Linked DNA regions of Macaca mulatta. The protein of the gene in region 1 binds, or shares a complex with, the protein of each later gene. Links are inferred from orthologs where the notes say so. Each region holds a gene or a part of one and is shown in the gene's direction. Other genes may lie near its edges.

Region 1 (3,651 bases):
TGGAGGCAGAGGTTGCAGCGAGTAGAGGTCACACCACTGCACTCCAGCCTGGTGACAGAGCAAGATTCTGTCTCAAAAAAAAAAAGTGTGTCTCTGTATTTCTTTTTACCCAGGGGTGATACTTAACATTAGAAAGGCGATGTACCATTTAGGAGATCCTGTATTTGCACTTCAGTTTTATACAAATGTTAGTTTAACTTCTTTTAAGCCTTGATTGGACTGATTTCCTACAGAAGTGTTGCCTAATGTTACCTACTGGCTCAAGATGCTGGACTTGTGATTTCACGTATTTCTTTTCTTTTTTTTTTTTGATACTAAGTCTTACTCTATTGCCCAGGCTGGAGTGTACAGTGGCGCGATCTCACCTCACTGCAACCTCCACCTCCCGGGTTCAAGCGAGTCTCCAGCCTCAGCCTCCTGAGTAGCTGGCTGATTTTTATATTTTTAGTAGAGACAGGGTTTCATCATACTGGGGAGACTGGTGTCAAACTCCTGACCTCAAGTGATCCACCTGCCTCGGCCTCCCATAAGTGCTGGGATTATAGGCGTGAGTCACCGTGCCTGGCCAATTTCAGGTATATTCTTGATCTGGATAGAGATTGGGAGTGACAGCTGTTGCCATTAGAATTATTTTTAAATTCTGTATTGATTTCTGCTGTCTAGTTCTCAAAAGAATTGAGGCAGACGAAAAGTAGAAGTTGTGATCGCCTTCTCAGGAAAAGCCTAGTAATCAATCTGTTTTGCTCCATGCAAGAAACAATAATGCAGTGAGTCAGTTATTGGGAAGGAGCAAGCGATTGGGGTCTTGTCTTTAAGCTCTTTTTTTCTTGATCATTACTTTGTCCAGAAAAGTACTTAAAAGATGGTTTTGCAGGAGGTACCTTCTAGGTCAGGAGCTGGCAAACCACAGCCGATGAGTGCCTGTACTCTGCTTCTGTGTGACCTGCAAGCTAAGAATGTCTTTTCACATCTTAAAATTGTTGCAAAATGGCCAGCATGGTGGCTTATGTCTGTAATCCTAGCACTTTGGGAGGCTGAGGCAGGAGGATTGCTTGAACCCAGGAGTTCAATACCAGCCTGGGCAACATAGTGAGACTCTGTCTCTACAAAAAATTTAAAAATTAGCTGGGCATGGTGGCAAACACCTGCAGTCCCAGCTACTTGGGAGGCAGAGGTGAGAGGATCACTTGAGCCTTGGAGATGAGGCTGCTGTGAGCTGCAATTGTGCTGCTGCACTCCAGCCTGGGCAATAAAGCAAGAACCTATCTCAAGAAAAGAAAAAAGAAAAGAAAAAAAAAAACAATTACTTTGTGACGTGCAAAAATTGTATGCAATTCAAATTGCAGTGTTCATAAAGTTTGATTGGAAAACAGCCATGCTCCTTCATCTTTCTAAACAGCAGTGTGGAGACTGTGTAGACCCGCAGAGCCTAAAATATTGACTCCCTGGACCTTTTCAGAGGAAGTTCACGGACCACTGTCCGGATCCCATTCGCATCTGCTTGACCTTGAGGATCTCATGGTCTGGAGTAGCAGTGAAGCAAACAGATATTAAAACACTGCTCTGTGAAAGCATTCTTGTTTGTTTCTTAAGGGGGTTTCATTTGTGTGTTGTCTTTCAGCAGAGGTGAGGGGCCTCTTACAGGTAGGGACACTCCTCCCTTGTGTGTACACAGTGGTGGTCCTTTGCTGGAGTATGGTGACATTGAGCAGCAGTGGACTGTGCACTCCAGGCTGCACGCCCTGTTGCTATATGCTTCTGTGGGTCCTGTGAGAGGCTCTGTCAGCATTTGCCTGATGCTATGCTCACAAGGGCCCTCTGCAGACCTTCCTGAAGTACCTTCACTCATCAGGCTGCCTGTGGTCACTCACTGCGGACTGCGTGGTGCCCAGGCTGCTGTGCTGAGTTGATGAGGATCTGGCCCTCCCTTCCTCCTTCCCTGTGGCATCTATGCCTAGAGCGCCTGCATCTGGAAATACAGTCCAGCCCTTCCAATATATTTTGTCTTTTTCATTCAGAAAGAGCCCTGATCTCATGGGATGCATTTTCTTATTTTTTTTTTTTTCTCTTTTCATTCCTCCCTTAGCTGACAACAGAACAAAAAAGAAAGTAGCTCACCGGGAACGAAAGCAAGATTTTTCTGCCTTTAAGCAGACAGACAGCGAGATGAAGGTTAAAATATCACCACAGCTCCTCCTGGCCATGCACCGTTTCCTAGCAACAGGCAAGTGCAGCTTATCACAGTTTGAGATCTCTACCAACCCTGGAGTGTGTTTCTCACCCACCACTGACTGGGGTGGGCTGGGGGTGGACACTGGGAAATGGGGTGATAAGTAATGCCACTTTTGTGTTTTGTTTTTTGTTTTTTTGTTTTTTTGTTTTGTTTTGTTTTTTTCTTTTTAAATTCTCTCCTCTCCTATGTTCAGTGTCGGCATGAACCCTCTGAGACATTTACCAGGGGTGGACCAGTAACTTAAAATTGGTCTGAAAGGTAAGGATGAATGTTAGTGCCACACTGCATGTGAACAGTAGGCCAGGCCATCTCCTTCCAGCTAGGTCTGTGGGAGAGCCAGCTGGCGGAGCAGGCTGATGGTGCCAGCCTGGCACCAGCTTGTTTGATGGACAATTGAGTCCAGTCTCTCTTCAGCTTGTCCTGGAAGCACAGTTGGACATCAGTGGTAACACAGGGGCTATGATTTGCAAAGAAGAAAACTAGGTTTTCACAATTAAATCTTTATCTTTTATGGTTTTAATGAAATCAAATTCTAAGAACTTTGATATGGATTTCTTGATGGCCTCCTCAGATCAGATTAACTCGAGTCCATTTCAGGAGGCAAGTGTTCATGTTGTTTAAACCACCAACCCAGCCGGCACTGACTGCTCCAGAGAGGTCAACGTTGAATGAACTTAAGATACTGACCAACCCTTCTCCCATCCCCAGATGCTCTCCAGGGTTGAGCTCTGGTGGCCAGGGGAAGTGTGAGAAAGTCTAAAGCATCCATTGGCTTTAGAAGACATCAGTGTCCCTGATAGGCAGCCAGTGCCTTTCATCTGCATGCAGTAGACTTAAACCATGTTTAAAAGAAGGCTAGCCGTAACCACCTGACGGAATGCTGTGTAACTCTTTAAGGTCGCGTTCTCAGAAGCCTGGAAATGCTCAATATAATATTTATCACATTAGAAAATATTCATAACTTAATACAAAGTGAGGAGAAACAATCTAAAACTATGTGTACTTTAAGATTAGAGTTGTGTTTTTGTGTGTACACACATGGATACATGAGCACACGTGCCTAGGCATGGCACTGGAAAGAAATTCTCACTCAATTGCTCAGAATGGTAATCTGAGTGGTTGGCTTATAGATAATTTTTACTTTCTTCTTTTTCTGTATTTTCTAAAATTCCTATAATGACTGTCTTATTACAAAAAAGTCAAGTTAATACAGAACTTACAGCTTTCATAAATACATAATTAGAAAATAACAGACAATGTCTTTCACTTATTATTCTTTTTCTAGTTTTGATAATACTGTTCCTCATCATTTAAGAATCACAAATTAAAACTAAACATCTAGGCCGGGCATGGTGGCTCATTGCCTGTAATCTCAGCTCTTGGGGAGGCCAAGGCAAGCTGATTGCTTGAGACAGTCT
Region 2 (2,968 bases), about 5.5 Mb from region 1:
CCCGCTGAGTCGGCGCACCCTGCCCGCGGGGGCGGTCGACCCCGGACTCCTGGAGGGTCGATGTATCCGAGTTGGGAAGGGGCTTTACTCTGCCATCTCATTCCCAATGACTGGACACCTCTACCTGGCTTTTAACTCGTGCTCCGTGTTCTGGCCTGTGGGAAACCCTACAAAGGAAGACCTCAAAAACAATGTTGGATCCTTTGGGCACATATACACACAACATGCTCAAAAGATGATCTAAGACAACAATTATCACACTCTATGATCGATGAGGTTCCAGCTGGTTAGTGGTGAAATCGGGTTGGAAACCAGTCTGATACCTGATTATTTTACACTATTTCTCTTAACTTATAATAGGAGCATGTATTGCAGCTATTTTGAATTTGAATAGCAATTTATTTGAGGAAATAATTCTTCAAACTAATTAAGAATGCTATGCTAGTTTATGCTAAAGGAAAAATATCCATATTCTCCTTCAAAAGTTTTCCATTTTTTGGAGACATTATTTTAGAGTACAGCATAGTCTCTCTTCCTTTAATGCTTCTGTATTCATTCAGGTAAATACTACCCTCAGTTTTCTTCCTTCTCATTTTTAGGTTTTTCCCTTCCTTGATGGTTACATGACTTTAGTACAAATATATGTCTCACAAATTAGAACAGTGACTTATTGGCTCACAAAATGCTGCACCTTGTGATACCATTTGATAAAATATCTTTTATTTTAGATTGTTTTTATAAAGAAACGAGAGAAAACTAGAGGAAGAGCAAAGATGCTGGTTCTTTTCACACGCTACCCAGGGAATGATGGTACTGTCCTTTAAAATATTGCCACGCATCAACAAATTCTGGAATAGGCCTGAAACCAATCATTGTATCTCTGCTTAAATTCCAAACTACAGTGGCTTAAGAAGAGCGCTTAAGTTCTCCTATTTATAAATATTTGACTAAGATCCTTTAATCAATTTACAAGGAAGTTGTAAAAGGTAAAACCACTTTATGAACAGCCTGAAAATAAAACATTATTTTCATGCATTATATAACTCGTCTCATCACAGTGTTAAATAGGTTCTGCATTTTTTTCTAAATTAGTAAATGTCACAGGTGCTCTGAAAGATAGGCAGGAAGAAGGAATTACCTGCATTCTTATAAAAAAAAAAATAAAATACAGGTCTGGTGCCCCTGCCGCCTCCTGCAACGCCGCCACCGCCGCTCCGCCATGACCACCGCTGCCTCCTGCCCTGCAGCCGCCACCACCGCCTGTGTTGACGCCGCCTCGGGACTGGTTGTATGATTAGGCCACAATCTTCAATGAGTAAACATATTGCTCAATGCTGTGGTGTTCTTGGTCACACATTTATGGAGTTTCTGAAGGGCAGTGGAGATTACTGCCAGGCACAGCACGACCTCTATGCAGACAAGTGAACTGTAGAAACTGATTAATACTCCATCAAGAAGCCCACATAAGACTGGTTATCCTGGACACAGAAGTGTTGAATTGAAATCCACAGAGCATTTTACAAGAGTTCTGACCTGGATGGGGTAAACCTCAGTGCACTTCTTTTCTGGTGGCCTCAGTATTACTGGATTAAAGAATTGCTGCTGCTTGTTAGGAGGTTCATTTCATTTATCATTACTTACAACTTCATACTCAAGCACTGAGAATTTCAGTGGAGTATATTGAAGTAGACTTCAGTTTCTTTGCATCATTTCTGTATTCCAATTTTTAAAAAATTATTTCATAACCCTATTGAGTGTTTTTTAACTAAATTAACATGGCTGGAATGAACCGCCCAGCTCCTGTGGAAGTCACATACAAGAACATAAGATTTCTTATTACACACAATCCAACCAATGTGACCTTAAACAAATTTATAGAGGAACTTAAGAAGTATGGAGTTACCACAATAGTAAGAGTATGTGAAGCAACTTATGACATCACTCTTGTGGAGAAAGAAGGTATCCATGTTCTTGATTGGCCTTTTGATGATGGTGCACCACCATCCAACCAGATTGTTGATGACTGGTTAAGCCTTGTAAAAATTAAGTTTCGTGAAGAACCTGGTTGTTGTATTGCTGTTCACTGTGTGGCAGGCCTTGAGAGAGCTCCAGGACTTGTTGCCCTAGCATTAATTGAAGGTGGAATGAAATATGAAGATGCAGTACAATTCATAAAACAAAAGCAGCATGGAGCTTTTAACAGCAAGCAACTTTTGTATTTGGAGAAGTATCGTCCTAAAATGCGGCTGTGTTTCAAAGATTCCAATGGTCATAGAAACAACTGTTGCATTCAATAAAATTGGGGTGCCTAGTGCTATTGGAAGTGGAACTTGAGATAGAGCCTAATTTGTTATACATATTAGCCAACATGTTGGCTTAGTGAGTAAGTCTAGTGTAGCTTCCATAGGAGTATTGAAAGGCAGTTTTACCAGGCCACAAGCTAGACAGATTTGGCAAACTCTGTATTTGGGTTACAGTCAACCTATTTGGATACTTGGCAAAAGATTCTCGCTGTCAGCATATAAAATGTGCTTGTCATTTGTATCAGTTGACCTTTCCCAAAATCATGCAGTATTGAGTTATGACTTGTTTCTATTCCCATGCCAGAATCTTATCAATACATAAGAAATTGAGGAAGATTAGGTGCCAAAATACCCAGCACAATACTTGTATATTTTTAGTACCATACAGAACTAAAATCCCAGGAACTATGAACACTCTAGACCTTATGTGGTTTATTCCTTCAATCATTTCAAACATTGAAAATAGGGCTTACATGGTTATTTGCTCACTTGATGTTTACATCTCCCACACTCATACCAGTATACATCAGGTTTGCCTAACCATTGATTTTTTTTTTTTACCAAGTCTTACAGTGATTATTTAGTGTGTTTCTATAAATCTCACTTTGTGCTATTATTTAAAAAAACTCCATTTTGAAAATCTACATTTTACAGAAGCACATGTC
Region 3 (4,224 bases), on another chromosome or scaffold:
ACGGAAATTTGTTTCTTGAGGATACAAAAAAAGAAAAGTGTCAAGTTAGGGGGAAAGTAAAAATTCAACTCCTAAAACATGTGTACAGTCAGGCAGTCACTTCATAAAGAGTTCAGTTGATGAAGTTTCACTCTTGAAATTTCACTGTATATATGCAAACCCTAACTATTAATACAGGTGAGAGCATCCACCTTATCTTCCATTCTCCCTAAGCCCTGAGGGTGGGAATGGGGGGGCACTCCAATCACCTGAGCCTAAGTACATAGCTGTGTCTGGCATGGTCTAGTTATTTATAGCCTCAAAAAACAAAAAAAAGAAAAGAAAAGAAAAGAAAAAGCCAGTTTCTTGTCCGATTCAGGCTTTCCCTGCCTAACCCCACTAGCTTAATGCGATGTTGACATTACCAGGAAATGCACAAGTCCCAAATGCATCTTACAGATGTTTTTACCTCTTGAAATAATATCGGGTCACAAATATTGTTACTTGTGTGTTTTTTTTTTTTTTTTTTTTTTTTTTTTTTTTTTTTTTTTTTTTGCAGAGATTCTATTGCTCATTTGACTCGGGGGCGTTGGATTTGTGCTGAGTGTAATTTCACTCCAAGCATGCAAACTGATCACTTCTTCCCGTGTGTTTGGGGAGTACAAGTGACTACTGCGAGTCCTCACATGTTTTTCTTTTCCTTTTCACGTGGAGGAAAGCGAATTATCCTAGGACTGTTTGGCATTCTACGCAGGGGTTCGAAGATGGGTTCCTCAGTCAACTCTGGCTGCGCGCGGGGGCCTGTGTGTACTCAGGGACACCAGGCTGGAATCGTCCGCCTTAGTTTCAAATGATAAAAGTGCGGAGGGTCTTTCTGCCCCTAAGTCGCGTACAGGACTGCCTGTTTACGGGGTACACTTCCACACACTTCTTTCCCGGTGGTGCCGTCTCGTGGCGGCAAAGCCTTTAGGAAGGCTCTCTGGGGAGAGAGATGATCAGTGGCGACCACGCCTCCCACGTTACAGCGCTCGCTTCCTACTGGGGGTAGGCGGGGACACCAAGGCTCTCCAGCCCGGGAACACGGAGTTCAGCTTCGCTGTACCCAACTGGGAAGCTGTAGAAACACAAAACTCGGGCGGCGACAGCACCAGTCGCTTTTCCGCTCTCTTGGCTCTTTCTTCCGCTTGCACCACCCCCACCCCAGCCGCACCGCCCCAACCCCGGCTCCTCCGCTCACCGCACACAAACCCACACCCCCCGCCGCTCCCGCGTTTCTCTCTCACCACCGACTGGGGCCTGCCTTTTATAGGCGCCGCAGCCAATGAGCGCGCCTCTTTCCTTCTGCCCTCCCGCCTGGCCAATCGCCGCGCCCCTTGTGTAATCTCCGGCTAGTCGGCTGCTTTCGGCTATTTTCGCTGTTGCTGGCTTTTTCAGCAGCTGCTTGTTCGCAGCCAGAGACGCTGCTTTTTTTTCCGGGTTCGAAGCCGTTCCGGATGCTTTAGGCTGCCGGATGTCTGATCTCCGGATAACTGAGGCGTTTCTGTACATGGATTATCTGGTAGGTGCATGGCAGGGGTGGCATGTCGCCTCTCGGATCTCGGCGTGCCCGATGGCCCCCTGCCTTGAGGAGCAGCCTTTTTGCTTTCTTTCTTTGGGATAGGATGCCTCTGGGGTTCTTTCTCCCGCAGCCGGCTCGGAAGCCGTGCCCTGGACTCGGAGGGGCAGCCTCCAGGGCGGCGGGTGGTGGAGCTGACAGGTAAAGGTGCGGCCTGGGCCAGCACGGCTGCGGGGCGAGGGTCGCGCTGGGGCTGCTTGAGAGATGGGGCGGCCGCGGCGGCGCGTCCCCTGCCCGCGATCGGTTTCCTGGCTTCCCTCTGCGCTCTCCGCAGAGGACTTTCTTTCCGGGGGAGCGGGAGTTTTCCGCTCTCCCTGGAGCAGAACTCCAGGTGCTATTAAAGAGCCATAACCAGAATGGCTCACTAAGTGCCCAGCAGCCCTGGTCATTTGATTGTTATTAAATCTCTAAAGCTATGACCTCGGTCGTGGCGGGGTTTTAAAAGCACATTACCATAAAGCAGACGGTTCTAAACTACCTCGCAGGCTGGTCCGAACAGGACTGAGTAGGGACAGGTATTGCCCCACCATTCCGGTCTTGGGTGCGTGCTGCTGTTCCACTGTGCACGGACTGGAACCCGGCTGTTTAGGCCAGGCTTGTGCTGAGAAGTTTAGGTGGGAAAAGTGTCAGCACAGTGCTGGGACCGAACATCATTTTAAAAATGGACTTCTGTGTGTGTCTTAGTGGAATTATGCGAGCGGAAATTATGTTTCCCCAGAGCTGCTTGTTTGCGTTTAAGGGGATCCTCATTTACAGGGACTGTGTTCGATCCTATATGATTACTTTGTTTACCATGTTGGGCAGAACCGCTATTGCCATGCAGAGTTGAAGTAGACGGTTAGAAACATTGACCCTCCTGTCATCTTGAGCACATGCACTCGGTTTTCGACTGCAGAGTCTCTGCCTGGCAGAGATTTGCCAGTGCCTTCTAGGAATTACACTTAAGGCTGTACAGAGAAAGTCTGTGCATGCTTTGATGGCCAAGAAACGCCGGACCGGCTTTGTACTGTCATCTGTGTATTGGGCTTATTTTAGTGTCCATAAAGAAAATGTTTCTCCTAATGCTTCAGAGCTTGATGGTCTTGGTGGGAAAGGATGGTGATTGCAGTTAATGCATGGCCTTGTGAATGGAGCTGAATCTAAAATTCTGAGTTCAAGTTCTGTTTTGTTGTTCATTTGTTGATGGCAGTAACTTCCTTTATCTTTGTGATAAAGGGATATTATTCACTCAGTACTGTAGCTGGTTAAGGGGGTTGTCTGATTATGAACACTCTTCACAATACAAGGTGCCCTGTAAGTTAAGAGAGCTGCCAAAGTGTCCAGAAGATTGTTTTCTAAGTTAAATAACAGATTTAATTTGTAACTTATCTTATATATTACAATACATGGTTTTTGTCTTGCAGTCTGCGTAAATTAAAGCCAAACTTTGTTGGGATAATTACCAAGTAGGAAAGGGTGACATTCTGTACTACTAAAAGCTAATTTTGAATACTTAAATAGTTCTTAAAAAAGAAAATCAGGTGGTTCTGACATTTTACTATTTTCTTTATTTACTGGATGTGTTTTAAATTTATAAATTGCATCACAAAGCCGTCTTTGAGGTGTCAAACCTATCAAAATGATTAGTGAAAACAAAATTGATAACTCTGGTTAATTACTCAGGCTAACCTCTAGATAGGCATAGTCTTAAGGTGAGTGGATGAATGTTTGTGGCCTCAAGGTTACCTTAAAAGCAGATTAATTTATTTGCCAATTTACTAACAGCTTTGTGTCAAATCAACAGGTCACAACTTTGACTTGGCTTTTTTATTTTCCCTGGGCTCAAGGTTACCCTAAAAGCAGATTCATTTCTTTGCCAATTTACTAACAGCTTTGTGTCAAAATCAGCAGGCCCCAAATTTGACTTGGCTTTTTAGAAAGTTTTACCTGCCATACATCTTAGTTTTACTTTTATATTTTAAAAAAATCATTATTTTGCCACTTTATCCGTCTAAAATTCACAAGTGCAGTGACCAACCCCATAAAAGCCACTGGCTACTCTTTGGAGGTGAGAAAAGAAATCTTAAAGGAAACAGTTTAGTTTTTGTGAGTGTGCTAAGTGTCCCCTGTGAAAAGATTTAAGAAAATTCTTTAGCATTAAACTGGATGGAAACAAACAGAAAAACCATCTCAAAACAAAAAATTAGCCCTCCCGAGATGGCCTTTTTGTGTTCACTTTTGCTTATCGACTTTGAGAGAAAATGATGTGCCACACATTATTCTTCTCTTCCTGTCTTTCGGATTGATTTGCTTGCTTATGCATACTCTGTGTGGTGTTTATTAAAAGCCTTATTTCTGAGGAATAATAATTTATTTGCATCTGGTATCTTATTGAAAAAAATTCCTGAGTTCTTTTACTTACCTTGCAGGAAAAAAAAAAAAAAATGCATCTTTCATTCCAAGTTTGACTCCAGACTTTGCTGAATGGATTAGAGTAAGTTCCCTTTCCATGCACTTGACAAGAATAATGGTTTTTTCAGCAGTATTTGACAGTCTTGTGTTGTTCCTGTTGGAAACTGGAAGAGAGAGCTCTGTGTGTGTATGTATTGTTCGTTGTTCTTTGGGCTGGATGTCATCACTTAACCTTTTTA

What was found.
Region 2: the proteins of CNNM2 (region 1) and protein tyrosine phosphatase type IVA 1 are in contact, whole or in part, in a crystal structure (PDB 5MMZ), measured with the Mus musculus proteins. The link is inferred for Macaca mulatta from reciprocal best matches to the Homo sapiens genes CNNM2 and PTP4A1. Residues at the interface, in NP_291047.2 of Mus musculus: Phe526, Asp528, Val551, Asn553, Glu556, Gly557, Asp558, Pro559, Phe560, Tyr561; in NP_035330.1 of Mus musculus: Asp72, Gly73, Ala74, Gly107, Leu108, Gly109, Arg110, Arg137, Arg138, Gly139, Ala140, Phe141, Asn142, Lys144, Gln145.
Region 3: the proteins of CNNM2 (region 1) and ARL15 are in contact, whole or in part, in a crystal structure (PDB 8F6D), measured with the Homo sapiens proteins. The link is inferred for Macaca mulatta from reciprocal best matches to the Homo sapiens genes CNNM2 and ARL15. Residues at the interface, in NP_060119.3 of Homo sapiens: Asn490, Val492, Pro521, Leu522, His523, Phe524, Val525, Phe526, Thr529, Glu537, Lys542, Ser543, Gln549; in NP_061960.1 of Homo sapiens: Tyr92, Ser94, Arg95, Gln98, Gln128, His129, Pro130, Gln131, Cys133.

The regions. Positions count from the first base shown.
Region 1 is NC_133414.1:115,196,119-115,199,769, forward strand, and holds part of CNNM2 (metal transporter CNNM2), read left to right. Parts: intron 1-2,086; coding exon 2,087-2,224; intron 2,225-2,426; exon of another isoform or gene 2,427-2,491; intron 2,492-3,651.
Region 2 is NC_133414.1:120,656,955-120,659,922, forward strand, and holds protein tyrosine phosphatase type IVA 1, read left to right. Parts: upstream 1-1,430; 5' UTR 1,431-1,775; coding exon 1,776-2,297; 3' UTR 2,298-2,338; downstream 2,339-2,968. UniProt on the Homo sapiens protein: Protein tyrosine phosphatase which stimulates progression from G1 into S phase during mitosis. May play a role in the development and maintenance of differentiating epithelial tissues.
Region 3 is NC_133411.1:62,119,860-62,124,083, reverse strand, and holds the start of ARL15 (ADP-ribosylation factor-like protein 15), read left to right. Parts: upstream 1-1,402; 5' UTR 1,403-1,489; coding exon 1,490-1,537; intron 1,538-4,224.